Callithrix jacchus: one gene and its partners. The protein of the gene in region 7 purifies or fractionates together with the protein of the main gene of each other region. This does not show direct contact. Links are inferred from orthologs where the notes say so. Each region holds a gene or a part of one and is shown on either strand. Other genes may lie near its edges. The genes, in order: RFC5, ZUP1, RFC1, SMARCAL1, POLA1, TOP3A and RPA1.

What was found.
Region 1: the proteins of RPA1 (region 7) and RFC5 purify together in Homo sapiens (affinity purification with mass spectrometry; 3 studies listed by BioGRID and IntAct, with this or other methods). This does not show direct contact. The link is inferred for Callithrix jacchus from reciprocal best matches to the Homo sapiens genes RPA1 and RFC5.
Region 2: the proteins of RPA1 (region 7) and ZUP1 purify together in Homo sapiens (affinity purification with western blotting; 4 studies listed by BioGRID, with this or other methods). This does not show direct contact. The link is inferred for Callithrix jacchus from reciprocal best matches to the Homo sapiens genes RPA1 and ZUP1.
Region 3: the proteins of RPA1 (region 7) and RFC1 purify together in Homo sapiens (affinity purification with mass spectrometry; 3 studies listed by BioGRID, with this or other methods). This does not show direct contact. The link is inferred for Callithrix jacchus from reciprocal best matches to the Homo sapiens genes RPA1 and RFC1.
Region 4: the proteins of RPA1 (region 7) and SMARCAL1 purify together in Homo sapiens (affinity purification with mass spectrometry; 8 studies listed by BioGRID and IntAct, with this or other methods). This does not show direct contact. The link is inferred for Callithrix jacchus from reciprocal best matches to the Homo sapiens genes RPA1 and SMARCAL1.
Region 5: the proteins of RPA1 (region 7) and POLA1 purify together in Homo sapiens (affinity purification with mass spectrometry; 3 studies listed by BioGRID and IntAct, with this or other methods). This does not show direct contact. The link is inferred for Callithrix jacchus from reciprocal best matches to the Homo sapiens genes RPA1 and POLA1.
Region 6: the proteins of RPA1 (region 7) and TOP3A purify together in Homo sapiens (affinity purification with mass spectrometry; 4 studies listed by BioGRID and IntAct, with this or other methods). This does not show direct contact. The link is inferred for Callithrix jacchus from reciprocal best matches to the Homo sapiens genes RPA1 and TOP3A.

What each region holds. Positions count from the first base shown.
Region 1 is NC_133510.1:121,071,573-121,075,730, forward strand, and holds the start of RFC5 (replication factor C subunit 5), read left to right. Parts: upstream 1-1,358; 5' UTR 1,359-1,483; coding exon 1,484-1,548; intron 1,549-1,760; exon of another isoform or gene 1,761-1,891; intron 1,892-4,007; coding exon 4,008-4,072; intron 4,073-4,158. UniProt on the Homo sapiens protein: Subunit of the replication factor C (RFC) complex which acts during elongation of primed DNA templates by DNA polymerases delta and epsilon, and is necessary for ATP-dependent loading of proliferating cell nuclear antigen (PCNA) onto primed DNA.
Region 2 is NC_133505.1:122,970,699-122,974,198, reverse strand, and holds part of ZUP1 (zinc finger-containing ubiquitin peptidase 1), read left to right. Parts: intron 1-722; coding exon 723-874; intron 875-2,668; coding exon 2,669-2,889; intron 2,890-3,500. UniProt on the Homo sapiens protein: Deubiquitinase with endodeubiquitinase activity that specifically interacts with and cleaves 'Lys-63'-linked long polyubiquitin chains. Shows only weak activity against 'Lys-11' and 'Lys-48'-linked chains.
Region 3 is NC_133504.1:154,486,842-154,490,341, reverse strand, and holds part of RFC1 (replication factor C subunit 1), read right to left. Parts: intron 1,185-3,500; coding exon 1,005-1,184; intron 1-1,004. UniProt on the Homo sapiens protein: Subunit of the replication factor C (RFC) complex which acts during elongation of primed DNA templates by DNA polymerases delta and epsilon, and is necessary for ATP-dependent loading of proliferating cell nuclear antigen (PCNA) onto primed DNA.
Region 4 is NC_133507.1:138,226,522-138,230,651, reverse strand, and holds the start of SMARCAL1 (SWI/SNF-related matrix-associated actin-dependent regulator of chromatin subfamily A-like protein 1), read right to left. Parts: upstream 2,801-4,130; 5' UTR 2,549-2,800; intron 1,429-2,548; 5' UTR 1,392-1,428; intron 703-1,391; 5' UTR 645-702; coding exon 1-644. UniProt on the Homo sapiens protein: ATP-dependent annealing helicase that binds selectively to fork DNA relative to ssDNA or dsDNA and catalyzes the rewinding of the stably unwound DNA. Rewinds single-stranded DNA bubbles that are stably bound by replication protein A (RPA).
Region 5 is NC_133524.1:25,473,045-25,476,544, forward strand, and holds part of POLA1 (DNA polymerase alpha catalytic subunit), read left to right. Parts: intron 1-317; coding exon 318-493; intron 494-2,291; coding exon 2,292-2,421; intron 2,422-2,911; coding exon 2,912-3,031; intron 3,032-3,500. UniProt on the Homo sapiens protein: Catalytic subunit of the DNA polymerase alpha complex (also known as the alpha DNA polymerase-primase complex) which plays an essential role in the initiation of DNA synthesis.
Region 6 is NC_133506.1:82,709,073-82,712,572, forward strand, and holds part of TOP3A (DNA topoisomerase 3-alpha), read right to left. Parts: intron 2,879-3,500; coding exon 2,735-2,878; intron 655-2,734; coding exon 532-654; intron 1-531. UniProt on the Homo sapiens protein: Releases the supercoiling and torsional tension of DNA introduced during the DNA replication and transcription by transiently cleaving and rejoining one strand of the DNA duplex.
Region 7 is NC_133506.1:66,377,743-66,381,242, forward strand, and holds part of RPA1 (replication protein A 70 kDa DNA-binding subunit), read right to left. Parts: intron 2,715-3,500; coding exon 2,646-2,714; intron 2,504-2,645; coding exon 2,311-2,503; intron 1,982-2,310; coding exon 1,842-1,981; intron 1,462-1,841; coding exon 1,313-1,461; intron 1-1,312. UniProt on the Homo sapiens protein: As part of the heterotrimeric replication protein A complex (RPA/RP-A), binds and stabilizes single-stranded DNA intermediates that form during DNA replication or upon DNA stress.

The DNA of each region.
Region 1 (4,158 bases), on a different chromosome or scaffold from region 7:
AAGTTGACCTGGGAGAAAGCAGAGAGTAGGGGCACTGTCACATCACAAGCCCTAGGTGAACCCCCTCTTTGGGGTCTCCAGGCAGGGAATAGGGGGAAGCCATAACTGCCACCATATACTTGCCACTGTCCCTCTGCTGTGTTCCTAAAGCAGGTGACATTAATGTAATCCAATGCAAGGAGTACTGCTACCTCCTAATCAAAACACTGCTGACCCCAGGCCAGCCTCGAAAATCCTCCAAAGATTTTTCTCTTCCTCATCACGTTAAAAAAAAAGAGAGAGACTTCAATATCGATGGTTTGCATGCTCATTGCTGGAAAATACAGACCAGGCCAGGCACGGGGGCTCACGCCTGTAACCCCAGCACTTTGGGAGGCTGAGGCAGGTGGATCACTTGACATCTGGAGTTTAAGACCAGCCTGTCCAAAATGGCGAATCCCATCTCTACTAAAAATACAAAAATTAGCTGGGCATAGTGGCACGTGCCTGCAGTCCCAGCTACTTGGGAGGCTGAGGCAGAGAATCGCTTGAACCTTGAGACAGAGGTTGCAGTGACCCAAAATTATGCCAGTGCACTCCAGCCGAGGTGACAGAGTGAGATTCAAAAAAAAAGAAAGAAAAGGAAAGATGGACCTACAAAAAAGAAGAAAATGAAAATGATCCAGAATCTTTTCGACTCAGAAAAAAAAAAAAAAAAAACTAAAATGTTGATTACGATTCTCCTCAGTATCTCAGATCGCAGAAACCCTGTCCTCTGTGTTCATGAACCAGATCCTTCCAGCGACACAGATGAACCCAACTGGAAGTTTCTGTTTGTTTTTCTCTGGAGTAGTTTTCCGGTGGTTGGTTCTCTAAATTTTGTTGGGTGAGGGGCACGGATTCCGGAGAGAGGTAGGTTGCAGTTATGTGTGTTTGGGGTTGTTTTCATTTCCAAATATTCACCCCACCCCCAGCTTTGGGGCCGAGAGGTATTGTGAGCCTTTTTCACAAGGGCATGTATATTCAAGATCCAGCCGTGTTACTCGGGTGCTGTTTTTTACTTAGAAAAATATTTTTTTTGAGCCCCGAAAGCTTTTGTTCGTTTGAACGTTAAGTGTTTGAAGTTTGGCTATGGCAGGAATTGGCTTTGGCCGTGAGATCTTAATAGGTGCTAATGACCAGGGCTACAGGGCGCCCTGCCTCTCCCGATCCCCTGCTCTGGAAGCGCCTAGGTATCTGAGAGCTCCGAGCAGGCTGGAGAGGTGGAGCTTGGAAGCTAGCTGGCGGCTGGCCCCTCTGGTAACCTAGCAACCGGCGCCCTGGCAACACTAGGAGGCGGGACCCAGGGAGGAAGTCGGAAACCGATGGCCACTTATCGCGAGAGTTGTTTTTGCGCGCGAACTCTGAGTGCAAGGGTCTCAGGGTCAGGTCGCGGCTGGTCGCTGTGCAGGCGCTTGAGTTACGCGACGATCTCAGCGGATCTGGTCGCCTTCGTCTCCCCGCCATGGAGACCTCAGCGCTCAAGCAGCAGGAGCAACCCGCGGCGGCCAAGATCAGGAACCTGCCCTGGTAGGAAGAGGCCAAGCGGCCGCGGTGGGCAGAGGGGGCCGGGCGGCCGCGCGGGGAGGCGGTGGCCGGGGTGGGCAGGTGACCGGACCCCAGCCCGATCTTGCCCCGCCGCTCCCGGGCCTGCAGTCGGGGCCGAGCCGCAGAGGTTTCCCCCGATGCCCCCCAGGTCCCCAGACTCGTCCGTTCTGTTTAGGACTTTTGCCAGCTCTTACCCTTTCACACCCAGCTCCATTTGCCGAAGAAGAAAGCGGCTTTCGCACCTGGTGACAGCACAGGGATTCGATCCTGCGTCCTCTGACACCTGCGTTGGCCTCCATGCCAAAATGTCCTCTTCCCACTCTTCAAAACCTGCGATGCGACTATTGGTCACATTTTAAACGAGTAATAACGCTCCCTGGTCAACTTTTATTGAATGGCGTATTGCTAGATTAGCAGACACCCTGTTAGATGTTCGATCCTTACAAAGACCCTAGGAGGTAGGCACCGCTTCAAATTTTACATAGGAGGAAACTGCATCTTAGAAAGGTTAAATGACTTGCCTATGGTCCAGGGCTAGAAAATAGGCTTGGAGGTGAATCTAGGAAGTCTGAATTCAGAGCTTGTACTGTTAACCATCCTACTTCAACAGCGATGTCCTAGCAGTGCTCTAAAGACTTTGATGCAATTTGGCTTGGTTTTGAAAGCTCCAAGTTGTCATTGTCTAGTAGCTAGTTCAATTTGCTTTTATTGTGGTTTTTTAAAAAAAAATCCCATAAGGTTGACAGTTGTAACTATTTTATGTATTTATTTTTTTAGAGACAGGGTCTTGCTCTGTTGCCCAGGCTGAAGCACAGTAGTGTGATCACAGTTCAGTCTAACCTCAAACATTGGGGTTCAAGCCATTCTCCTGCCTCAGCCTCCAGAGCACTGGAACTTTTAGAGGCGAGCTACCAAGCCCAGCACGTAATCATTTTAAAGTGTACAATTCAGTGGCATTAAGTACATTCAGAATGCAGTGTACTGTTGTGGAGTCCTCCCACTATCTAGTTCCAAAATTTCATCATCCCAAATGCAAATCCTGTACCCTTGACAGTCACTCCCCATTCTCCCCTTCCTCTAGCCCCTGGCAACCACTAATCTTTCTGTCTCTATGGATTTGCCTATTCTGGACATTGATGTAAGTGGAATCCTACATGATGTGGCCTTTTGTGTCTGGTTTCTTTCACTCGGCATCAGTTTTTCAAGGTTCATGCATGTTGCTGTTTGTATCAGTACTGCATTTCTTGTTACGGCTGAATCATAGTCCGTTGTATCGACAGAAGACATTTTACCTATCCATTCTTCTGTTGAAGGCTATTTGGGTATGAGTTCAGTTTCAAATGCACTTTGAAATAGTAGGTGCCCATCAGGTTGAGATTATAGGCAAACAGCTGGAAAGATGAGATAAGAACAGTTTTCAACCTCAGCACTATTGATATTTTGGGCCAAGATACTCTGGGTGGGTCTGGGGGAGCTGTCCTGTGCACTGTGGCATGTTTAACATTCCTAGAGACTATGCACTAAGTGCCTAGGACCCTCTGCCCACGTGTGACAGCTAAATATGTTTCACTAGATGTTCCTAGGAGGACGAAATCACCCTGGTTGAGAACCACTGTCTGTGTTCAAATTTAAAGTGCTTTTTCTTCCTTTTTAAATTAGGATATGAAAGGATTCTTTCTCTCTCTTTCTTTTTTTTTTTGAGACAGGGTCTCACTCACCCTGTCAACTAGGATGGAGTGCAGTGGTGTGATCCCAGTTCACTGTAACCTCTGCCTCCCAGGTTCAAGCGATTCTCCCACCTTAGCGTGCTGAGTAGCTGGGACTACAGGGACATGCCACCTTACCTGGCTAATTTTTGTATTTTTTTTCTTATTTTTTTATTGAATGGCGTATTATTAGGTTAGCAGATGCCCTGTTAGATGTTTGATCCGTACAGAGCCCCTAGGAGGTAGCTGTAGAGACAGGGTTTTGCCATGTTGGCCAGGCTGGTCTTGAACTCCTGACCTCAAATGATCTACCTGCCTCAGACTCCCAAAGTGCTGGGATTACAGATGTGAGCCACTGTGCCTGGCCTACAAGGATTTTTTTTTTTCCTGAGATGGAGTCTTACTCTGTGGCCCAGGCTGGAGTGCAATGGCGTGATATCAGCTCACTGCAGCCTCCACCTCCTGGGTTCAAGCAATTCTCCTGCCTCAGTCTTCTGAGTGGCTGGGATTACAGGTGTGCACCACCATGCCCGGTTAATTTTTATATTTTTAGTAGAGACGGGGTTTCACCATGTTGGTCAGGCTAGTCTTGAACTCCTGACCTCATGATCCACCCGCCTCAGCCTCCCAGAGTGTTGAGATTACAGGCGAGGCATCATGCCCAGCCAAGGATTCTTTTGCATATAAAATGTTCTTGCATTTATATGTCATAATACCTGCTAAATTGTATTTCAGGGTTGAGAAATACCGGCCACAGACCCTGAATGATCTCATTTCTCATCAGGACATTCTGAGTACCAGTAAGTATCCATGTGTCCGTTGCTCTTGTCCTGGTTGAAGGATCTGTATAAATTTCTTGGTGGTGATGTCTCTCCTAAGTAATAAC
Region 2 (3,500 bases), on a different chromosome or scaffold from region 7:
TGATAAAGCTATGAAATGCTTTTAGTTGTACCTGACCTTTTAAAAACAGTAGCTGAGTAGTATAAACAGTGTTTCTGGTTAAAAAATTGTTTATTGAAGGGTGACTCCTTCTTGAAGGAAAAATACCACGGTGGTCTGGTGTCAAATAGGAGATAGATGTATAGATGTGGGTACACACACATTTTTCTATGATCTTTACAGGTATTTTCTGTTATAGAGATTTGAGATGCTGACAGGAAAAGTATTTAAGATTTATTTGATATATACAAATGGCTGTTGAGGAATTCAAATCAGAAATCAGCTTCTAACTGATCATCAGGGTTAGAAACTAGAATAAAAGCTATGTCCCAGATTATATGTAGATGACTTTTAAAAAATCAGGTATGGTCACTATTTACTATTCATAGAGATTTTATATATCAGAAAATGTTTGTAACCTTAAGGTTAGTCAGCAGACTTATTATGAAATTATTTAAATAGTTAACTAGTTAGAAGAATAGTGAAATGGTTAAATAGGGAGAATTGTTAAATAGTTAACCCCCACAAAAAATGATAATTTTTTTAAATAAGCAGTAAAAATTTATATTTATTTTTCTTTCTTCCTTTACAGGGAAGTAATGGCTAGAAAAAGTTGGTTCTAACCTAATAATTTGTTATATTTGATAACTATTGAAAATATTTTTAAATGGCCTTTAATTATATATTCTGTCAATTTTTAATAGGTGTCATATTGTTGATTTTCACAAGTCAACTGGTCCTTTGGGTACACACCCTTGCTTATTTGAATGGATATTAAACTATTATTCTTCAGAGGGGGAAGTGAGTTCAAAGGTAGTGTGTACATCTAAACCTCCCATCTATCTTCAGCATCAAGGTTGGTATTAATATAACTCATGCCTGACAATGTTATTTATAAGATAACAAATTGTTGGCCAGGCGTGGTGGCTCACACCTGTTATCCCAGCACTTTGGGGAGCCAAAGCAGGTGGATCATGAGGTCAAGAGATCAAGACCATCCTGACCTACATGGTGAAACCCCATCTCTTCTAAAAATACAAAAATTAGCTGGGCATGCTGGTATATGCCTGTAGTCCCAGCTACTCAGGATGCAAGGCAGGAGAATCGCTTGAACCCTGGAGGAGGAAGTTGGAGTGAGCCAAGACTGTGCCACTGTACTCCAGCCTGGAACAGAGCTAGACTCAATCTCAAAAACAGACAAACAAACAAACAAAACCAAATTGTTGCTTTTGGACAGGTTAACGTTTTTTTGTGTGTGTGACAGAATCTCATTCTGTTGCTCAGGCTGGAGTGCAGTGGCACAATCTTGGCTCCATGCAACCTCCACCTTCCAGGTTCAAGCGATTCTCCTGGCTCCTAAGTAGCTGGGACTATAGGGGCATGCCATCACACCCAGCTAACTTTTGTATTTTTAGTCGAAACAGGATTTCACTGTGTTGGTCAGGCTGGTCTGATAATACCAAGGAGTAATATGACATTAATCTGATTTTCAGAGCTACTTTGACAGTACAATACTTTCTTAAGTAATTAAGATTGATATTTCTACAATACTTTCTTGAGTAATTAAGATTGATATTCCTGACATCTTCAGGACCTTTTGCACTTGTTATTTTCTGTGTTTGGTTCACTTGTCCTTCATTGTTCATTTCTTGCCTTCTTGGGTCTTTACCTACGTGTCACTTAAGTGAGGCCTGCCCTGACCTTACCTTATTTAAAAGTGGACCTCAAGGCCAGGCATGGTGGCTCATGCCTGTAATCCTAGCACTTTCAGAGGCTGAAGCAGGATTGCTTAAGCCCAGGAGCTTGAGACCAGCCTGAGTGACATAGTGGGAATCTGCCTCTACAGAAACAAGAAAATTAGCCAGGTGTGGTGGCACACGCCTGTAGTCCCAGATATTCAGGGGGCTGAGGTGGGAAGGTCACTTGAGCCCTGAAGTTGGGGGCCATAGTGAGCCATGATTCTGCCACTGCACTCCAGCCTAGGCAGCAGAGTGAGGCTGTCTCAAAAAAAGTACAACTCATCCCAACATCCCATTACTGTCATTATCTTCACTTATGTACCTTGTTTATAGAGTATCTCTTCTATTAGGATGTAAGTTCCAAGAAGACAGGCACATTTGTCTGTTTTGTTTGCTGTTATATTTCTTCCTACATGGAGTAGTACCTGGCACATAGATTCTTGGTAAATTATGAATGGATGGTTTGAATTGACAGGAATAAGCAGAATAATGTTAAGAATTTCATTGTTTAGGAATACAAATTATAAGAGATTAAGCACCCCCCACTGATATTCTAGTATTTATAGGTTTATTTTTGTTTACCTTTTGGAATCATGAGAGTTTTGTTCTAGAACAGTTTGTGTTCTTTCGTTTGAGATAATCTGAATAAGAGAGATCAAGGGATTGGGAAAGGAAAAGTAAAACCTATGGCAGAATAAAAGCAGAGTTTTTTGTAATGAAGCCTTTAGAAAACTAAAGTTAAATGAAGAAAAGTGAAGTAGCACTAAACTCTTATGTCTTAGGAGAACTCAGATACATATGTGTCAGAGAGTCTGACTGTATTATATGCTCACAGTATATATATAGATACTATTTGTATAGCTGTAAATATATATGACATATATATAACTTAAAAAAAAATCTTTTGGCAGGTCACAGTCGAACTGTTATCGGAATTGAAGAGAAAAGAAACCGAACATTATGTTTACTAATACTTGATCCTGGATGTCCTTCTCGAGAAATGCAGAAATTATTAAAGCAAGACGTAGAGGCTAGCAGTCTCAAGCAACTTCGGAAATCTATGGGAAATTTAAAACATAAGCAATACCAGATAGTAGCAGTAGAGGGTGCTCTTTCTCCAGTAGAGAAAGTTGTAAGTATCTAAATATATGTGAACTCTGAATGACACGAACTTAAAAGTTTAAAACTTTTAGTTTAAAATCAGTGTTATCACTTTTTTCTTATTCTTTCTTTCTTTTTTTTTTTTTTTTTTTTTTTTGGAGACGGGGGTCTCACTCTGTTGACCAAGCCTGAGTGCAGTGGCATGCAATCTTGACTCACTGTAGCCTTGACCTCCTAGGCTCAAGTGATCCTCCTGGGTAGCTGGGACTACAGGCGCATGCCACCACACCCGGCTGATTTTTGTATTTTTTGTAGAGACAGGGTTTTGCCATGGTTCCCAGGCTGGTATCGAACTCCTAGGCTCAAGCAATTTGCTCCCCTCAGCCTCCCGTAGTGTTGGGATTACAGACATGAACCACTGTGCCTAGCCCACTTTGTATTCCTTAGCACCTTATTCTGTTTCATTAAGTTGGAAACACCATTTGATTTTATATTTTTTTAATTTCTGGAATGAACATATTTTTATTTGAAATGATACTTTAATGACTTTCTATACTTAGAGTTTCATAAAAATGTTCAATTTTATAATATTTAATTTTTGATGTCAGGTAAGCGATGAATAATGTTAACACGTATAGTAAG
Region 3 (3,500 bases), on a different chromosome or scaffold from region 7:
ACAGGCACAATCCCTCAGAGTAGCAGGTTGGCACAGGAATTACTACTTTCATAGACTGCTTTACCTTTCCTCCCCTGGGAAGGGGCAATGCCGCTAGGGCCTAAGACCAGCTCTTCATACCTTCTCCCACATGTAATACATATAACAGACATTTCCCTCACCTTTTTCCCTGCTGATGGAACTCCAATGTGTCCTCCAAGTGATTAATTATGACTGGTCTAAGGCAACCAGAAACGTCTTGGTTCTTCCCAACCTCCCATATAGCTCTGAGTGGCCAGGTGACAGCTCTGGCCAATGAGACGTGAAATTCTGTAAGAGGTATTTCTGGGAAAACTCTTGTCAGGCCAGTCACAGCTCTTATGTATGACAGCTTGCTGCTGTTCCCCTTTCCTGCCTTGAATGAGAACTTAAATGGCTAGAGCTGCTAGAGCTGCAGCTACCTTGCAACCACAAGGCAACATTCATGAGGACAAAAGCTAACACAATAAAGATGACAGAGATAAAGGAACCACATCATTGAGCTGCTGAACTATCCCAGCAATACCTCCAGCATTCTTGTAAGGAAAGTAAGCAGCTGTTTGCTTAAGCCACAGTTAATCAGGTATTCTGTTACTTAGAGCTTAAACAGAATCCTACCTGATAGGCAGCTGATTCTTTCCCTAAGAGCACTAATTTTAAAAAAACCTAAGATGGTGTATACAGTGGCATTTCTTCGGACTGGAAGAAAAAGAAAACTGCATTTGTTTCTATCTTCAAAAATAAAAAAAGATTTAAACTAAATACACTAAGAAAAAATCAAGTAAACAAGAACTGTGCCTTCCAATGGAAAACCAAAATCCTGGCATCGAAGCCAGTAACACTTCTGTGGAGAAGAAATAATGTGGGCAAGAAATTACTTTTCTATTTCTTTCCTTCATTTAACTCTGAGTAAAGGGCAAATCACATCAAGAGCATGCCAAGGCAAGCAGGAGGTGTCATGGTGTTGAGAACACAGCAGTACCCACCTTGTCACTCTTGGACTGTCCACTATCACGACCCATGACAAGGTAGTTTGTTTTCTTGCTGACATTTCCTGTTACTTTCCCCCCATAACGTTCAATTAGAGACTTGGCCTCATCTCTTTCAATAGACTCCAGCACGCCTGTGATTACAAACGTAAGGCCTTCCAAGCAATTTTCAGCTCCCTAAAAACCAAATGTTCAAGCAGAGAGGAAATTACACAGTAGCTTTCCAAAGAAACATTTGGCATCAAAACTGCAGGAAGTTGATTTTTTTTTCACTTGACATCATAAATAACCTTGGCATGGAAAGTTTGCTGGAAATTTACAGCAAATAAGTACCACCTGAAATCTGATCCTAAGAAATTTTGATATGGCTAACATTTTATAAACCTACAAAACAAGCAGTGAAAAACATACATCCAATACTGTTAGCAAAGCTATTAAAATTACCCATTCATACTATTTTCCATTATGCCCTCTTCATATCTAAAGTACTAGTTAACTTGCATAACTGTAAATAAACAACGAAATGCAATCCATCTGTAGAAACTCTTGCTATTCAGGAAACTGCTTATTCTTGAGAACTTTCCCAACAAGAATTTAATAGAAGCAGGTAAACGTCTATCATTTTGATGTTTCTGTTAATGTTTCCAAACAATGTACTTTAAAGTCACAATCACTTCTTATCATTTTCATATATTTCTGATGCTTTTCATTACATTAGTGATCAGAAATGAGGTATAATTCCCCAATCCCTGCCCACAAGAGCTAAGTAAGATCTTAACTGTAAGTTGAAGGGAGTTTTCCCCGAACTCATGGATTGTACAAGAATGAAGCCCTGTTGGGTTAGATGGTCTGCTGACGGACTGTTGTGTGGCATATCTAAAGGCTATCGAATGCAACTTGTAATGCTTAATAAAAATCTATACTGTTTTAGGGGAAAAAACGGAAGAAAAAACGCAACTATTGCTATTATTAAAAAGGGAAAGTTTTGATTCTAAAAAGCTAAGCAAGTGCGAGCTCCTGCCCTCCTCTTGCTCATTACTCTGGTAGTAAATCTAACAACCGGCAAGTAACTTAAAGGCAAGATCATATTATCTCTGGATTGGAACGGTAACTCTCACAATGTATAATATAATATAAGAGATACTTGCCAAAGACAGCTGGATGGAAAAAGACATTAAATCTTAATTGGAACTGTGTATAGCTATAGATTTTTACAATGGCTCAATAAAATTATACCACCAAACAAAATAAATAAAAATTATACATGACATTCCAAGTTACTTATTACTCTTTTAATAGAGAATTGAGATTAACAAACTTAAATCAGGCTTGAAAAGAAGCAGCCAACCAAAATTCAAAGAAGGCACCCATGTAAATTCAATCCTGCACCATTCAGGTGAAGAATCTTTCTTAGACAAAAAGAAATAGCAATGAATGTGCTTGGAAAGAAAAGGTCTGACTAACAACATCTCAGGTCCTTTGAAGTGCTTATGGTTCATGGATGGAAATGACCTACTGTAACACTACAGGAACTAAACTACTTCTGAACAAACTCAAAACAACCTTGGAAAAGTTGCACATGCAAGCAAGCCCCTTATCCCATATCCCAAATACCTATTATCTCCCAAATTATCACCCACGATGGCGCTAATTATCTTTTTTACTTATCTTAGCACTTCTAGCCTCCCTTCCAAACTCTTCTATTCTAGAACTCGTCTAAGCTCTTACTCCAGGAGCAGCCAACTACCCAATATCCTCAACCTCTTCTCCAACATTCCCTCCACAGCCTTTCTTCACTGAAACCTGGCTGTCCCCTCAGGGCACCACTTTGCCTGAAGTCCTCTCAGGCAGAACTTGGTCTCTCATACCCATGTACAGGAGGCAAGACTGGCATCTTCCTGCAGCCTCTCGTAAAACCCATTAGCCCCTTAAGGCTGACTGTCCCGCTCCCCACCCCAGTCCCAACTATACCATCCTCTCCCTCTCTTTATTAAGGGAACTATTAATCTCCATATGTAGTTATGTATACCAAGCAAACTGAAAATTAAATTTATACATACATTGTATACATATATATCCCCTCCCCTCCAGCCTTCTCAGAAATCTCATACTACAATTGATTCTTCTTCTTTTGTAGGTAAACTTTAATCTCTCCCTTTCTAGTAGGACCTATCCCATTAGCAAAAAGCATGCTTCTCTTATGGTATCTCCTACCATAAACAAAACATCTCCCCCTAAATCCCACTTTCCATTCTAGCTAGAAGCCATCTCCCCTTGGTCACTATGCTCCAACTACATCATTTTTCTTTCAGTTCCTCAAACATACCATGCAAGAACCTTCTCCCTTCAGGAACATCACACATTCTGGCCCCTCTGCCCAGACCACCACACCATCACAACCCCTTCATACCTGCCAAATCCCTTCAAGTCTCCATGTAAATGCCACATTCCACATCCCCCACCCAGAACCAAGTTCCTCTGTTATATTATCTA
Region 4 (4,130 bases), on a different chromosome or scaffold from region 7:
CCCGAGCTAGAATGGATGTAAGAAGTGTTCTGCCACGAGGTGGAGGCTTTTGCTCTGTTGGCCTCTAACTTAACATCCCTGGGAGGCTGTCCAGAACAAGCTGGTGTCTCTTGTGAACTCTTTGCTTTGGCCAAAGGCTCATGAGTTGGGTTAGCAAAGGGTATGGACCTGATCGAAGCCTGAGCATGACCTTGACCTAAATTGTAACCCAAGGGCTGTTGTTTAGAGACCTCTGGAGGACTTTTTGCCAAAGGAGGGGAGATTCCAGTGAGAGCCACTTGATGTGGTGGGCTGTGGCCTGGGCAGGCTGTGGTCATTTCTTCTGGTTTTTTCCATATTCCCTTCACCTGCTCTGGTATGCTAAGATGAAAACTGTGGGAATTATGAGGTTTTTGGTCATAATTAGATGAGCTACTGGGATTCTGTTGCTTGAAAATGACACCATGGCTCACTGGCTTACAAAACTCCCTTGGGAAATTTTGGGATGGGCCTTGTTTGGCCTGGGATGGGTTGCCAGCAATGGTGGTGCCCGAGCTAGTCTTCTGATGCTGTTCTGCCAATAACTTCTCAGCTCTACGGGCCAGAGCCTTTTGTCGATTCTCTTCAATCCTTTTCCTCTGCTCCTCTGTAAGAGGCAAGGACATTTTCCAGGAGAAATAGTTAAGCAGGAAAGTCAATCTTTAATTGGAAAGTTGGCAAAAGCTGTGGAAGAAAATAAGAAGACTGAAATGAACATTACATTTATTAGCTGCCATGCTCCAACCATGATTTTAACAAGCTTTTGTCCCAGAAACTACATAATGAGCACAACTAAAGGATATATTAAAGTTAATTTTATAATTGCACATACACAGAGATAGTAGGCAGCATATGCTAAAATAAAGATCCTGATCAAAAAGCAAAAAGCAGGCCGGGCATGGTGGCTCATGCCTGTAATCCCAGCACTTTGGGAAGCCAAGGCAGGCAAATCACTTGCGGTCAGGAGTTTGAGACCAGTCTGGTCAACATGGAGAAACCCCATCTCTACTAAAAATACAAAATTAGCCAGGCGTGGCGGTGCACATCTGTAATCCCAGGTACTTGAGAGGCTGAAGCAGGAGAATTGCTTGAACCTGGGAGGCAGAGATTGCAGTAAGCCAAGATTGTGCCACTGAACTCCAGCCTGGGCAACAACAGTGAAACTCCATCTCAAAAACAAACAGAAAAAGCAAACCCAAAGCTAAAAAGGCATTTCAGCTGCAATATTTCTCTCCTTCCCATGCCCCAGACAAGGTGAGTTATCAGAACCCAAGAAAGTTCCTTAGTGCACTTAAATCCATCAGATAATGAGAAGGGTGACATTTTTAACCAGAAAGCATAATAGATTAGACTGAAATAGACCAACCACTTACCATGGCGTGATACTTGCTAAAATAGCCTCTTTCCAACCTAGAAGAAGGAAAAAAGCATTAGCCTCCCATGGACTGCACACGAAATTCTCCCCTCACATTCACGCCTTTTATCCTTCCTGGCAGTCAGTCAGCCTGTGGCTCAGTGCAAGCCAGAGCAGCTGGCCTTGACACCTGATTTCCAAAACACAACACACGGAGCAACTGACTGACTCTCCGGGGAAAAAGAGGGGTGGAAAAAAGAAATATGTGTTCACTGTACAAATTAAGATGCTATATAAAGATGTGAACGAGCAAACAAAAAGAATAAAATTAATCCATACTCTCACCAGCCATCAATAACCACGGTTGAAATTAATAATTTAGAGTATACAGTTCCGATTTTTTTTTCTATCCATAACCACGTAATACATGGCACATATTTAGGAGACATAAGAATTTATTATAAAATAGGATCACTGTAAACATTCCATTTTGCACCCTGATTTTTTTCCCATGAATTTACCCATAACATTTATTTTCCTACTAACTGAGACATTTTTACAACAGTTTGTAAGCAGGGGGCGGGACACCAATTTCTCTGGCTTGGTTCAGATTAAATAGCCTGCATCTACTGTAACGCTGTGTAATGCTTAGAATGATGATGTAGGAGTACTTCAGTAGCACTGCCTAGGCCTCTGGGCAACTATAGGGTTCAAGGGTTTCCTTCCCTGCTGGGGCTCCCTTTGGCAGAACCCAACCCCCCACCCCACTCCTCCTCCCCGACCAAGAAGCATCTATCCTCAGAGAACTTCCACCTTCTCCAAATGTTAGCAGTTAGGAAGGGGTGAAGCGGTTAGGGAAACGTTTTGCAGGTGCACAGCGGAAGCCCTCAGTTTCTCTGGGTAACGCACTCCTGCCTAAGTTTCCAATCAGTTCCCTGCACCTCCAGACACTCCAGATCCCAGGCCTGGTGAGCTATCTCCACTAACCAGGGAGACGAGGCCATAAGACCCACTGATCATCCCCAAACCATAAAGCCATCCCGCCACATGGACGTCCCTCTTCCTCTCTAAGCAGGGACCTCTGCTCCCCAGAATTTCGGGGCGCGCCTCACCCAGCCTCAAGGTAAGCGGGTGCCACACCCCACTCCCACCCCTACGATATCCACTTGGATTCACCCTTCCCGTTGGCCCACTTCCTTCTCCAGGCTGGCATTGGTCTCGTCCGCCTCCGCCGCCTTCCTGCCAGTCTACCACTTTCTCACCCAAGGAGGCCTAGAACGCGAGCCGCATTCGCACCCGGCTCTGAGCCCAGGCGCGACTCCAGAGCCTTCCGAGTCGGGCTAGTCTTCCGGGTGGACGGTTAGGCCACGGGTATTCAAGAGCTACGAGTTCGCCCGCCTTATTGTAGCGGCCTGGCCTGAAGGGCTCGGTCACCGGTGAACTACACTTCCCAGCAGGCAATGCGGCCACAGTTTCGCGTCCAAAAGTGAGAGTGATGAGACGAGAACGCCAGCGGGGCTGCAGGGTCTTCTGGGTTTTGTAGTTCATGCCGGGAGCCTGGCGAGAAACGGGAGCTGCAACGTCAAGTGCGGGGCGAAAGTGGTGCACCCTGGAAATTGTAGTTCTCCAGAGGTTTAGCCAAACGCCAGGTCCTGAAAGCCTGGGACATTGAGGTTTCCAGACCTGTGGTCTCCTGTCTCCAGAGGGCATCTCAGACAGCCAGACTAACTTGGAGGCTCTTGATAAAAAGTATTCCCCCGAGGCATTCATTCCTGGTATTGCTATCCTTGCAATTTAAGCCTCAGTCGCTGCGCCCGTCTGCCATCGTCGTCATCATTGCAGTCATCAGTCATTGCGTTTAGCATAAATATGAGTTACGTCATTTAACCGCACTACAACCTATGGAACACATTCTTGTCCCCATTTTACAAGGGGGAAACTGAGACAGCCATTTGGTAATGTTTCTCAATGCTTTATTAAGCTAGCTTGTGAGTCTGATTCCATAGACCCACCTCTTGAGAGAAGGTTAGTCACGAGATTTTAAGAGTCACTTTAGAAAGGGCATGGTGGTTTATACCTGTAATCCCAGCACTTTGGGAGGCCGAGGTGGGCGGATCACGAGGTTAGGAGTTCGAGACTAGCCATGGCCAACATGATGAAACCCCATCTATACTAAAAATACAAAAATTAGCCGAGCATGGTGGTGGGCGCCTGTAATCCCAGCTACTCGGGAGGCTGAGGCAGGAGAATCGCTTGAAAAACTGGAAGGCGGAGGTTGCCGTGAGCCGAGATCGTACCACTGCATTCCAGCCTGGGCAACAAGAATGAAACTCCGTCTCAAAAAAAAAAAAAAGTCACTTTACTCCTGAGCACCAACAAATCAACACCCTTTTCTCTCCAGGGTCAATTCCACTGTTCCATATTAGTGATAAATATAATATTGCTCTATCATCAGTGTGCATATGAATGTTGCTATAATTCTATTTTCAAACATGGCCTATTTAAAAAACAAACAGATGTCTACTAAAGGATTTGGAAAAATGGACAAGACATGCTAAGAAAAAGGAAGCACTGCAATGTGTGTAGTTTGATTCATTTTTTTAAAAAAGAAATCCTTACCTCTAAATATATGTAAACACATAAAGATCTGGGAAGGAAACTTGAAAACTCACCAAACTGTTAAGGAGCAGAGTAGCATGGAATACACTTTTCAACTTTTTAATCTCTATTTTTCAGAATGTTTGAATTTTCTAAAATA
Region 5 (3,500 bases), on a different chromosome or scaffold from region 7:
TATGCCCCTACCCTGCTCTATTTTCCCATTTTCCATATACTTGTTACCTCCTAAAATGATATAATTTCTTGTTTATGGTATCTATTTTTTATTATACATTTCAAACGAGGCTAGGAGTCTTTTCTGTTTTGATCACTGCTGTATCCTGAGTGCCTAGAATAATGTCAGATATATAGTAAATGTTCAAAAATATTTGATTGATAAATGGGAGAATGAAAGTTTTATCATAATTTTGGGTCAGCTTTAAAATAGGTTAGAAAGAAATGTTGTCAGTGTCTGCTCTTTCATGAAATTTGCTTTTTGTTTCCATCTCATAGGGCCGGAGTGGATTTGGTGAAAGAAATGCTACCTGTGGTCGAATGATCTGTGATGTGGAAATTTCAGCAAGGGAATTGATTCGTTGTAAAAGCTACCATCTGTCCGAACTTGTTCAGCAGATTCTAAAAAAGGAAAGGGCTATAATCCCAATGGAAAATATACGAAATATGTACAGGTATGATCCTAGATTCTTCAGAATTCATCTGTCTTGAAATTAACAATAGCAGAACACCAGTACTATTCTTAGTCTGGAGAGGCATGAGCCAGTGGTGCTGTAGAGGGGAAATTGTCTTTGTCAGTGCTACCATCTCCACTGCTTTCATAATTTGAACTAGTTTAGCTCTTGAATTACTGTAATTGATCAGTTTATCTCTATCTCCCTCACCTGTGTTAACACTTTCTTAATGTTTCCTAACAGTAGTTTGGATTTAGATTTCTACTCTTAATTCGTTTATTCAGGAATTAGGGTAGATACTTTGGAAATGTAAAAACTGAGCAATCATTAAGTTATTTAGAGGTATCACTTGCTTATTTCTTCCTCCTACTCCTCTGGTCATCTCTCATTCGTTTGTTCCTGCTAGTTCTTTCTGAGTCCTTCCTTTGACTTCTTTTCTGACTTTGCTTCCTCTCTGGGTGATCATAGGGAGTCTTAGGAATTTAAATATCATGTGGATGCCTATGCCTCCCACCTGTGTATCTTCAGGTTAGACCTCCCTAAATTCTAGAATCAATGTATCTACTTACCTATTTTACTTGATACCTAATGTGAACTCCCAGCTTGTTCAAAACTGAGCTCTAATCTTCTATCCTAGGTTCTTCCTGTAGTCTTTCCTTACTAAATTAGTAAGCGTATTTTTCCGTTATCACTGGACACTTCAGAGTTTTACTTAGCCCAAAATCTCTGTGGCACCTTTGGTTCCTCTCTCTCATATCCCACAGTAGATGTATGAGGGAATCCTGTCAGTTTTATCTTCTAAATATCTCGAAGTCTGACCACTTCTTTCCGATTCTGTTGAACCCATCCTGTCCAAGCCACTATCCTTTTTCCCCTGGATTACTGGGTTTATATGCCTGTCCCCTTCCTTTTGCCCTTACCCCTTTATAATCGGTTCTCAATCCAGAACCAGAGTTATGCTAAAATCAAGTCAGATGTGTCCAGAATCTTCCAGTGACTCTTTGTTTCATTCAGAGTAAGAAGTGAAGTTCTTGTTTTTACTTATAAGCTCCATACAGTGTGTCTCTATGCCATTAACTCTGTCCTTATCTCCTGCTACTCTTTCCATTATTCTCTCTGACCCAGTCATATGGCCTCTTTCCTAGTCCTGGAACTGCCAGATTTGCATGCAGCTCAGGGCTTTTGAGTGTGCTGTCCTGTCTGCGTGGAGTGCTCTTTCCATAAGGCTTGTTCCCTTACCTCTTCCAGATGTTTATTCTCAGTGAAATCTTCCACTGTTTCCTAATAAAAATTTCGGTCTCTGCTTCCGATACTTAATATTCCCATTGCTTAACTTTTAAAGTTATGTAACATACTATATACATAATTTCTTTTTCTTTTTTATACTCTGTCTCCCCCATGAGGACATAAGCTCCAGGAGGATAGGAAGTTTTGTTTGTTTTGGTCACAGCCAACTCCTGGCACATAGTAAGCATGCAATATATACTCACTGGATGGAATGAATGAAAGGATTTAGATAGTTTTCAGGCTTGTAGTTATTATATTACTTCAGTTTTTCTTTATGGGATTGTGTGTGTGTGTGTGTGAGTGTGTGTGTGTGTGTGAGAAAGGCTTTGGGATCAATGGTATGAATGAATTCCTAGTTACATACTGACCTTAATTTGTTTCTGAAGCCAAGATGCTGTTGCTCTGAATTTACTTACACCCAAAATTCCTTGTAATAGTTTATGAAGTTATGATTATGGGCATTGTTTCTTTTAATTATTTGATTCTGTTTCATTCTTACTTTTCTGTACAGTGACTCTTCCCAACTGTTATACCTGTTGGAACACACCTGGAAAGATGCCAACTTCATTTTGCAGATCATGTGTGAGCTGAATGTTCTTCCATTAGCATTGCAGATCACTAACATCGCTGGGAACATTATGGTAAATTTAACTTAGAAAGGGGGAAAAAGCATTTCCTGTTGGATTCAGTGTTTGCTTGGGGTAGTTGTTATATGATAATGAGTCTAAATGCATGCTTATAAAATGAGTAACTTGGATTCTGAGAGCTGGACTTCTTTTGTAAAGGAAGAACTGGTTGGGAGAAGGGGAGGAATGCCAGGTGCAGTGTGTTGAAATTTGGACGAACATAAGGATCATCTCTCTAACATCTGGATGTGTCTGTTTGGTGGAATGGTCCATTTGGGAGTAAATAGCCAAGTTGTCAATATTTTAAGCTCTCTTTGTCTCCTTTAACTGTAATGCTCAATGAAAATGTTAGGAATAATTTAGTACTTTTTTTTTTTTTTTTAAAGCAGCCTGTTGTTAGGAATGGTTTTGAAGGAGGTGATGTGACTAAACTTAACTGACTCAAAGTTGCTTTTGTTAGTTGTGGTTTTGAGCTCAAATTTTAAAAAGAGATTCCATTTAATAGTCCAGGACACTGATGGGTGGACGATCCGAGCGTAACGAGTTCTTGTTGCTTCATGCATTTTATGAAAACAACTATATTGTGCCTGACAAGCAGATTTTCCGAAAGCCTCAGCAAAAACTGGTGGGTCCAAAGCTGTGTAGTATTTTGTTTCCTCTTATCCCTTACTTTTTATTACCTAGATAGCCTTTTTTTCTGTGATGACATCTGCTTTCAAAATAGCAAATCCCTTGTGTACTGTAGAAACCGTGTCAAGTTTATTCCCTTGTATTTGTGTCATTTCCTTATCCACTTTTCTCTTTGCAGACAAAATTTGTGAAACATGAAATTCTCTGAGGGAAGCATTAGACCTCTCTGATGGGTGACCATACATGGAATGTGTTTTGGCACCTTAGCCCTACCCAAAGTTAAATGCCAGTTAAACCTTTTATTTTCTTGAACCTATGAGCCTTTATTATTGTGTTGCATTTTTCTATACTAGTATGATCAAGGTCACCCACAATTAGGTTTCTGAAATAGCCTCCATCACTTTAGAACTAAAACTTAGTTTAGCTACTGTTTTATTAGCACTGATATGAATTGATGCAGAAAT
Region 6 (3,500 bases), about 16 Mb from region 7:
TGTCATTCATGTCATTATTATTATTTTGCTTTGGAAAACAGGTATTTTATCACCCTAAAAACCATGTTATTTACAGTAGTATGCAATGCATTTACTAGAAATAGATTAATATTTTAAAAGATGTTTTTACTTTAATTTCACATGTGGTATATACTGATAAACCACCCAGAACAAAAGCTCTCTTGGCTCCTCAGTGATCCTTCAGAGTGTTACGGGTCCAGTGACCAAGAGGTTTGAGAACCACTGTACTGCACTAGGGCTGTGGGCTTTCTGGAGGAACTTAAATAATATATTTCTTTGCCCATGGCCCACTCCAAACTGGGTCATACCCGCCAAAGCAGTGACAGCATGGAACACAACAGAACCGGACCAGGCCTGCTGACCTGACTGCTGCAGAACACAGCTACACCCCTGCAGAGCCTGAGTGTAATCCCTTACACTCCCCTCTGGGTTCTGGCAGGAGCAAGGGAAAAATGGGCACCGTGGTGTGCACACTCCAGAGGAGGTGCCTGACTCAGGCGCCCAGCTCACCTGTACACAGGGTGTGGCTGACAAACTGGACACACACTGCCATCCCTGCTGGCCTCCAGCACCGAGTCAGGAAACCATATGGCTGAGCGACACTCTGGGAAACCCGTGCAGCTGAGGTAGAGCCTGGGGACAAGGTGCCATGTCAGGTGGTAGCAGTGCAGGAGGCACTCTCAGGCTCTCAGCCGTTGGCCATCGGCCGAGACAGCCTTTCCTCAGATGACTGAGGACAACATTCCCTTTTCTGGAGGACAGTTAACTGGAGATACAAGCACTGATATTTAATTGATTGAGAAAAATGAGCCTTCTCACAACCCGAAAGCACAAAGCAGCTATTGCTGACCCTGCTTTCTACTTAGAAAACCAACAACCAACCAAGGTGACGCCAGGGGCCCTGTGCTGTGCACTCACACATTCTTGCCTTTCTGCCTCGTGCCAAGTCTGTGCAGTGTCAGGGGCCCCCTCAGTTTGCATGTGAGTAAGTGGTGGCTTGGTGTGGGCTGGAAACCTGCCCAGAGATGTGCATGCATGGGGGTATGGGAGCTAGAAATGGAAACCCATCTGTTTGTGACAGAGCCTCACCTGCAACATCTACACCCCACCCACTGCCCATCCACCCCATCCCTGTCTCTCCTGGCCCATGTTTTTCAACACCTTGCAGCCATGAAACATTAGGGTTTGACTAGCCAATGTGCATTTGATTTACCAATTCCTTTGAGTATGCCTGGGTACACTACAAAGAAAAAAAACCCCCAAACTTCAATCATTTAAATAAGAAATTTACAATCTCAGAAATGGAAATTATCAGATAAACCCTGGAGTGGCAAATCCCATAAAATAATCTGACCTTCTGGAGTAACTCAAAGAAGCATTACAAGAGAATAACAGAATAACAAAATAACAAAAGAATAACAAAGAAATAATAGTAATTCTCCAATACAGTGCTAAAACAAAAGTAAGTATTCTCTCTCCTTATATTCCAGTGAGTACTAATCCAAAAACCTGCTGGTGGCAAGGAAAACCCATCAACAGCATTTATTAAGTGCTTAAATACATGCCCAGGTATTGGGCTAGGCCTAGAGTGGGTCTGGCTTCTGTCTGTGAGTGACAAGAGCCCTGACACCTGCTTCCAGGTCTGGTCCAAAGACCGCTTGTTTCTGAGAGCTGGTGGCTTTCTCTTCACTGGGGCCAGCTGGGTTACTGATGGCTGGAGGTTAGGAGGAGTGGAGAAACCTTTCTCATTTAGCAGCAAGGAGCACAGCAGCCCCAGGTGGGCCAGGCAGGATGGAGAAAGGCAGTCAAAACCTGGTTTCAAACTATGCCTTTGCTGCCCACTGTGAAACGGGCTGCTTGACTTCAAGCAGGAACCTCTACCCTCTAAGCTGCATAGAAATCCCTGCCTTGCAGGGTGATTACAAGAATGGGATGAGGTTAAAAAAAAAAAAAAAAAAAAAAGAGAATGGGATGAGATGTTTACAGAGCACCACCAGGCATCATGCCAGTAAGGAATGGCAGCTGATGAATGATGGCTGCCACCCCTCCAGCACACCTTTCCCCGTGAACTTCCTCAGTGGCCAGCCACCGGCTTGAACAACCTGATCTGAGGCTAAATTTCCCATTCAGGTCAACTATACTTAAAGCAAAAGGGAGTTAAGATTTTCAGGCCCAATTCAGAACTTTTCTTAGAGAAGAAAAGTAGAATCTGCTGAGTAACTACAACACGTCAGGCAATGCGGTATACAGTCCTGACCATTTTCACCAAATCCTTATCCTTAACACAGCCTTGTGAGTACTGACCTTATTTTATGAAAAAAGAAATTGGGGCTCAGAGCAGGTTAGGAACTTGCTTCAGGCCACACCACTTATATGTGGCAGAAGTGGCATTTGAACCCAGACCCACCTAGATCTGAAGCCCATGCTCCTCCATGTGTTACACATTAGGTATATGATGTCCTATCTACAGGGGACAAAAAAAACCCCATAATCACTCAGTTCCCCACCTGCTCTAAATTCCAACAATGCTTTACACCTCAAAGGCCTGATCCCACCCAGGTATCCTTCTAGGCCAACACCTTGCCTGCAGGTTGGCAACCACAGGCCTGTCCTGAAAGATTCCATGTAAGTGAGATGGCAGGGCCTTTTAGAGCTGTGGCTGACACCGCAGGTGCTGGAGAGCAGAGGTGAAGGCAGAAGGCAGAGCACTGACCCGCCGTTCTTCTTGGTTTTGAGGACCATGTCCTTGTTGCACTGTGGGCACTTCCTGATAGGCTCTGGCATGGCTGGGTAGATGTCTTCTTGCTGGGCCACCTCTGTCCCATTCCCAAAGTACTGGGCCAAGGCCTCGTCCAATCTGAAGAGAAGGCAAAGGTAGACACCCATCAGCCTGCAATTGCTGCAAAGGCACCTACAACACTCTTATGTACACACAACAGGCGTGACCGTGGGAACCAGCTGGTCAGTGAGCTGCAGGCCTCCTGCAGAGAACAGACGGCAGGCAGAGAAGACTGAGCTCATCATGGGCCCTGGTGCCTAACCAACTCCGAGGAGGAGAGTCCAGATACAGGCAGATGCTTCTGCCTTGTCACCAGCCCCACATTAAAAAATAAAATTGGGCTGGGTGCGGTGGCTCATGCCTGTACTCCCAGCACTTTGGGAGGCTGAGGCCAGCAGATCACCTGAGGTTGGAAGTTGGAGACAAGCCTGACCAAAATGGAGAAACCCCATCTCTACTAAAAATACAAAATTTAGCCGGGCATGGTGGGGAATGCCTGTTCCCAGCTACTTGGGAGGCTGTGGCAGAATTGCTTGAACCTGGGAGGCAGAGGTTGAGATGAGCCAAGATCATGCCATTGTGCTCTAGCCTGGGCAACAAGAGCGAAACTCCATCTCAAAAAAGAAAAATAAAACTGCACAGGGTCCATGCACAAACTCTAGGCATATCTGTCTGCATTAAGTTTAAACTAGCTTGGCGG
Region 7 (3,500 bases):
ACCCTATGCTGCAGACAGCCGCCTTCTCCTGTCAGGTAAGCGTCTAAATCCCCCACAGGGCACAGCAAAGGCCGTACGTCTGTTTCACCACCAGCAGCTACACCAGTTTATGGTTTCAAAGACTCCAAGGAACATGCACTCATCAGGAGTCAACAGAGCATGGAGACAGGCCACCCCCATCAAAATCCTGCATGGTCACAGCCAAGATCTAAACACCTCTAATCCCCGTCCAGGTAAAGTATGCACACTGAGCAGCCCTTTGATCAGTGCCAGGTTATTTGATTCTGGGGACAGCCGTGCTCCTTATGTTGACTGGGATCATGATTATTGACAAGTAAAATATGAAGACCTTCATGTGGGAATGCAGTTAACCTGGGGCCGAGTTCCACAGCCCAAAAGGAAATCAAGCAGTAAGACCAAAGCAATCTGCGGCTATTTCTGGTCAGACTGGGCCCTGCTTTCTACAATGCCAGCTATCACAACAGCTCAGTAGAGATGTATGGACTGTGCTCACGAGGGTGGCTTACGTGACATGAACATTCCACAACATGCTTCATGAAACTGGTCAAACACCAGTGCCACTGGTTCACATGACTCAAAGCAGAGGAGGAGTATGTAAAATGAACTCATTCTGTAGCTGCTTAAATCCTAAGACACAGCTGGAAACCGACACGCTAGCCCCGTGACTAGAGCTACAGGAGTTATTTCAGCTGGGCTAGTGAAAGCGCCTGCCTGACCACATCAATCCTTGCATACTGTGTTTCAGTTTCAAGTACTCTTTTAAGACCGAGTTTTAATGTCCTAAAAGGCTAGAGACAGTGAGGAGATTTTAACAGCCTCTTCTCATCCCCTGAGTGCTATGGGAATAACAATCTAATCCTAACAAAAAGCCTGTTGTTCTCACCACACTTTATCAGAGTCCAGTGAATACACACTGGAAGATGAGATCAGCACCAAACACTCGACAGAAAAAGAAAGCACATGCTCCCCCCACGCCACAGAGGCCTGGAGTGTGAACCCTGGAAAGAAAGACGCCTCAGCACCTGCCACGCGCTCGTTGGCAGGACCGAGGTTAGCAGGCAGCACCACATTCTAATCGCCTCCTGGGACTCTCTGGTTCGTGATGTGATTCCAGGTTTGTCAGCTCAAGGGTTTTAAAGCCATCTTCTCAGAAGGTAAAACGCCTCCAAGAAACGAATGCACCACTCACTTCCCTAACAAAGACTTCTGCTTGGCAGAGGCTCACACATGGTAACCAGCTCTCCTCAAACCCAGTCTCAAACAGCCCTTTGTTTCACCTCACGAAACCTACCATCCACGAAGCTTATAGGCCTCTGGGATGTCAGGATTCACGATGATGGTGCTGGAAGACAACACAGAGAGGCTCCGTCCACCGAAATCTGAGACTCTGGCTCCTTTGATAGCCAGCACAGGCTGTCTGGAACCATCAAATTTATCAGCCTGTAAAACAAACACCAGACATACACACGTGTCACTCGCAGGAAGAACACAGAAGGTTTTTATAGAAAACAAGGCAAACAGTCAATAGTGAGTGAATGTAATCAATGTACATAGAATCTACACAAGACAGACTTCACACATAACGATCTTCTCAAAGACACATCAAACTAGCACTACTTTCCCAGAGTTAGGGGGAGGAGCATTTGCCTCCGTAAAGCTTGAATCACAGCAAATCTCACAGAAGATAAAGGATTTCAAATATTTGCCAGACAGCACGGCCCTTCCCATCTACACGGCCAAAGCCCCCAACTCATAGGACAAGACCACCTGCTCCCCCAGGAGCTCCTCCCGTGCGCGCTGACAGCTCCGCCCTCACTTACATCTTCCCCCCACAGTGTAGCAGTCACCACCTTCCCCGACGTGTCCATCAAGTAGATATTCCTCTTAGCAACCTCTCTGTTGTTAGACCTCACTGTGATTTTCGTGGCATCTTCATAGCTCTTGCAGATCCCAATTATGTCTGAAACACACCCACAACGTGTTAGCAGGAGACCGTCAGGGCTCCAGCTGAAGGGGATGGGAGGGTGAATGGCAGGCACTGGGGTCTGACACCGCCCCGGACACTGCACAGGAGCACCATCCCCCACGCTGCACAGGAACACCACTCCGGACACTACACAGAAGCACTGCCCTGGACACTGCACAGGAGCATCGCCCCCCACGCTGCACAGGAGCACCGACTCGGACACTGCACAGGAATACCACTCCCCACGCTGCACAGGAATACCGCCCTGGACACTGCACAGAATACCACTCATCACTGCTGTTCCTTCCCATACACCAACTTACCGACAAGTGAGTCTTTAGACTTGCTCTCTAGGTTATCAATCCCTGTGAAATCAAACTGAACGGTAGGCAAGTGATGATCATCTTCACAGGGCATGACGGAAGTCTCATTATTGAAGGTCATCTCATAGTCATTTTTAACAGCTGTGAATTGTTTGTTAGCAATCTTCAGGGTGCCCTTTGAGAAATAATACACCTGCAAAGGAGGCCAAGCCACAGAACTTCAGACTGTCATCAAATTGGACAAGAAACCCTGGTCTGCCACCACACAACCCTCCACTGGACCACAGTCCTCTCATCCTCAGTGAGTGTCGGCCCCAAAGCCGACACTACTATACCTTGTTCACTTCAATGAGGGGAAAGAACTTGTCCACTTGCTCATTGAAAGCCGTAGCTCTGATTTCAGCCTGTGGAAGCACGTGAGAGCAGTTAGGACTGTGGGATTCAACTTCAAGCCTGACCAGTGAAACATAGGCCACCTCAGCATCAAAATGGCATCTTCAGAGCAGTGAGACACAAAGGGGACCCAGAGAGGGCTCCAGACATCCCAGAAACCCGCATTTTATAGTCACACATTCAAGTCATTAGCCTGCTGAAAAAAGAATTTCAATTGCTGGTCCCATAGTCATGCTGCATTAACCTCAAGTGAGACACTGAGAACTGAACGAAAGGGTAGTGTCGAGTGGAGTATTCTGACGATAAAAACCAAACCACGCTGACCACTGAGTGACACAACTGGAGCCCACAGCAGGCTGCTGCTGGGATGACTCCCGCTTCCCCCAGTGCCTTCTCAGTGACAATCACTCCATGCTCGGGAGCCACTGCCACAAATGTCACAGTAAGTCATGTTTTCAAGTTGCCTGTGATCTGATTTTCACTTTTGCTTTTCTTTCAGCCAAAATGCTATAGGTGGACAAGAAACTTAAATGATTGAAACTGTAGCCAACCTTTAGAGCAGTAATGTGTTTAAAAAAAAGGTTCTAATATTGATTCTGCCACCACACAGTCAAACATTTTGGGTGTTATACCATCCTTCCTCCCACCCCCAAAAAATCTATTTTTTTCTCTGCCTTTGGGAGTTTGAACAAACAGGAAATATGTGGCAGTTTGATTTAGACATCATTATATTATTATTTCTATTTTTTTTGAGATGGAGTCTTGCTCTGTTGCCCAGGCTGGAGTGCAGTCATGCA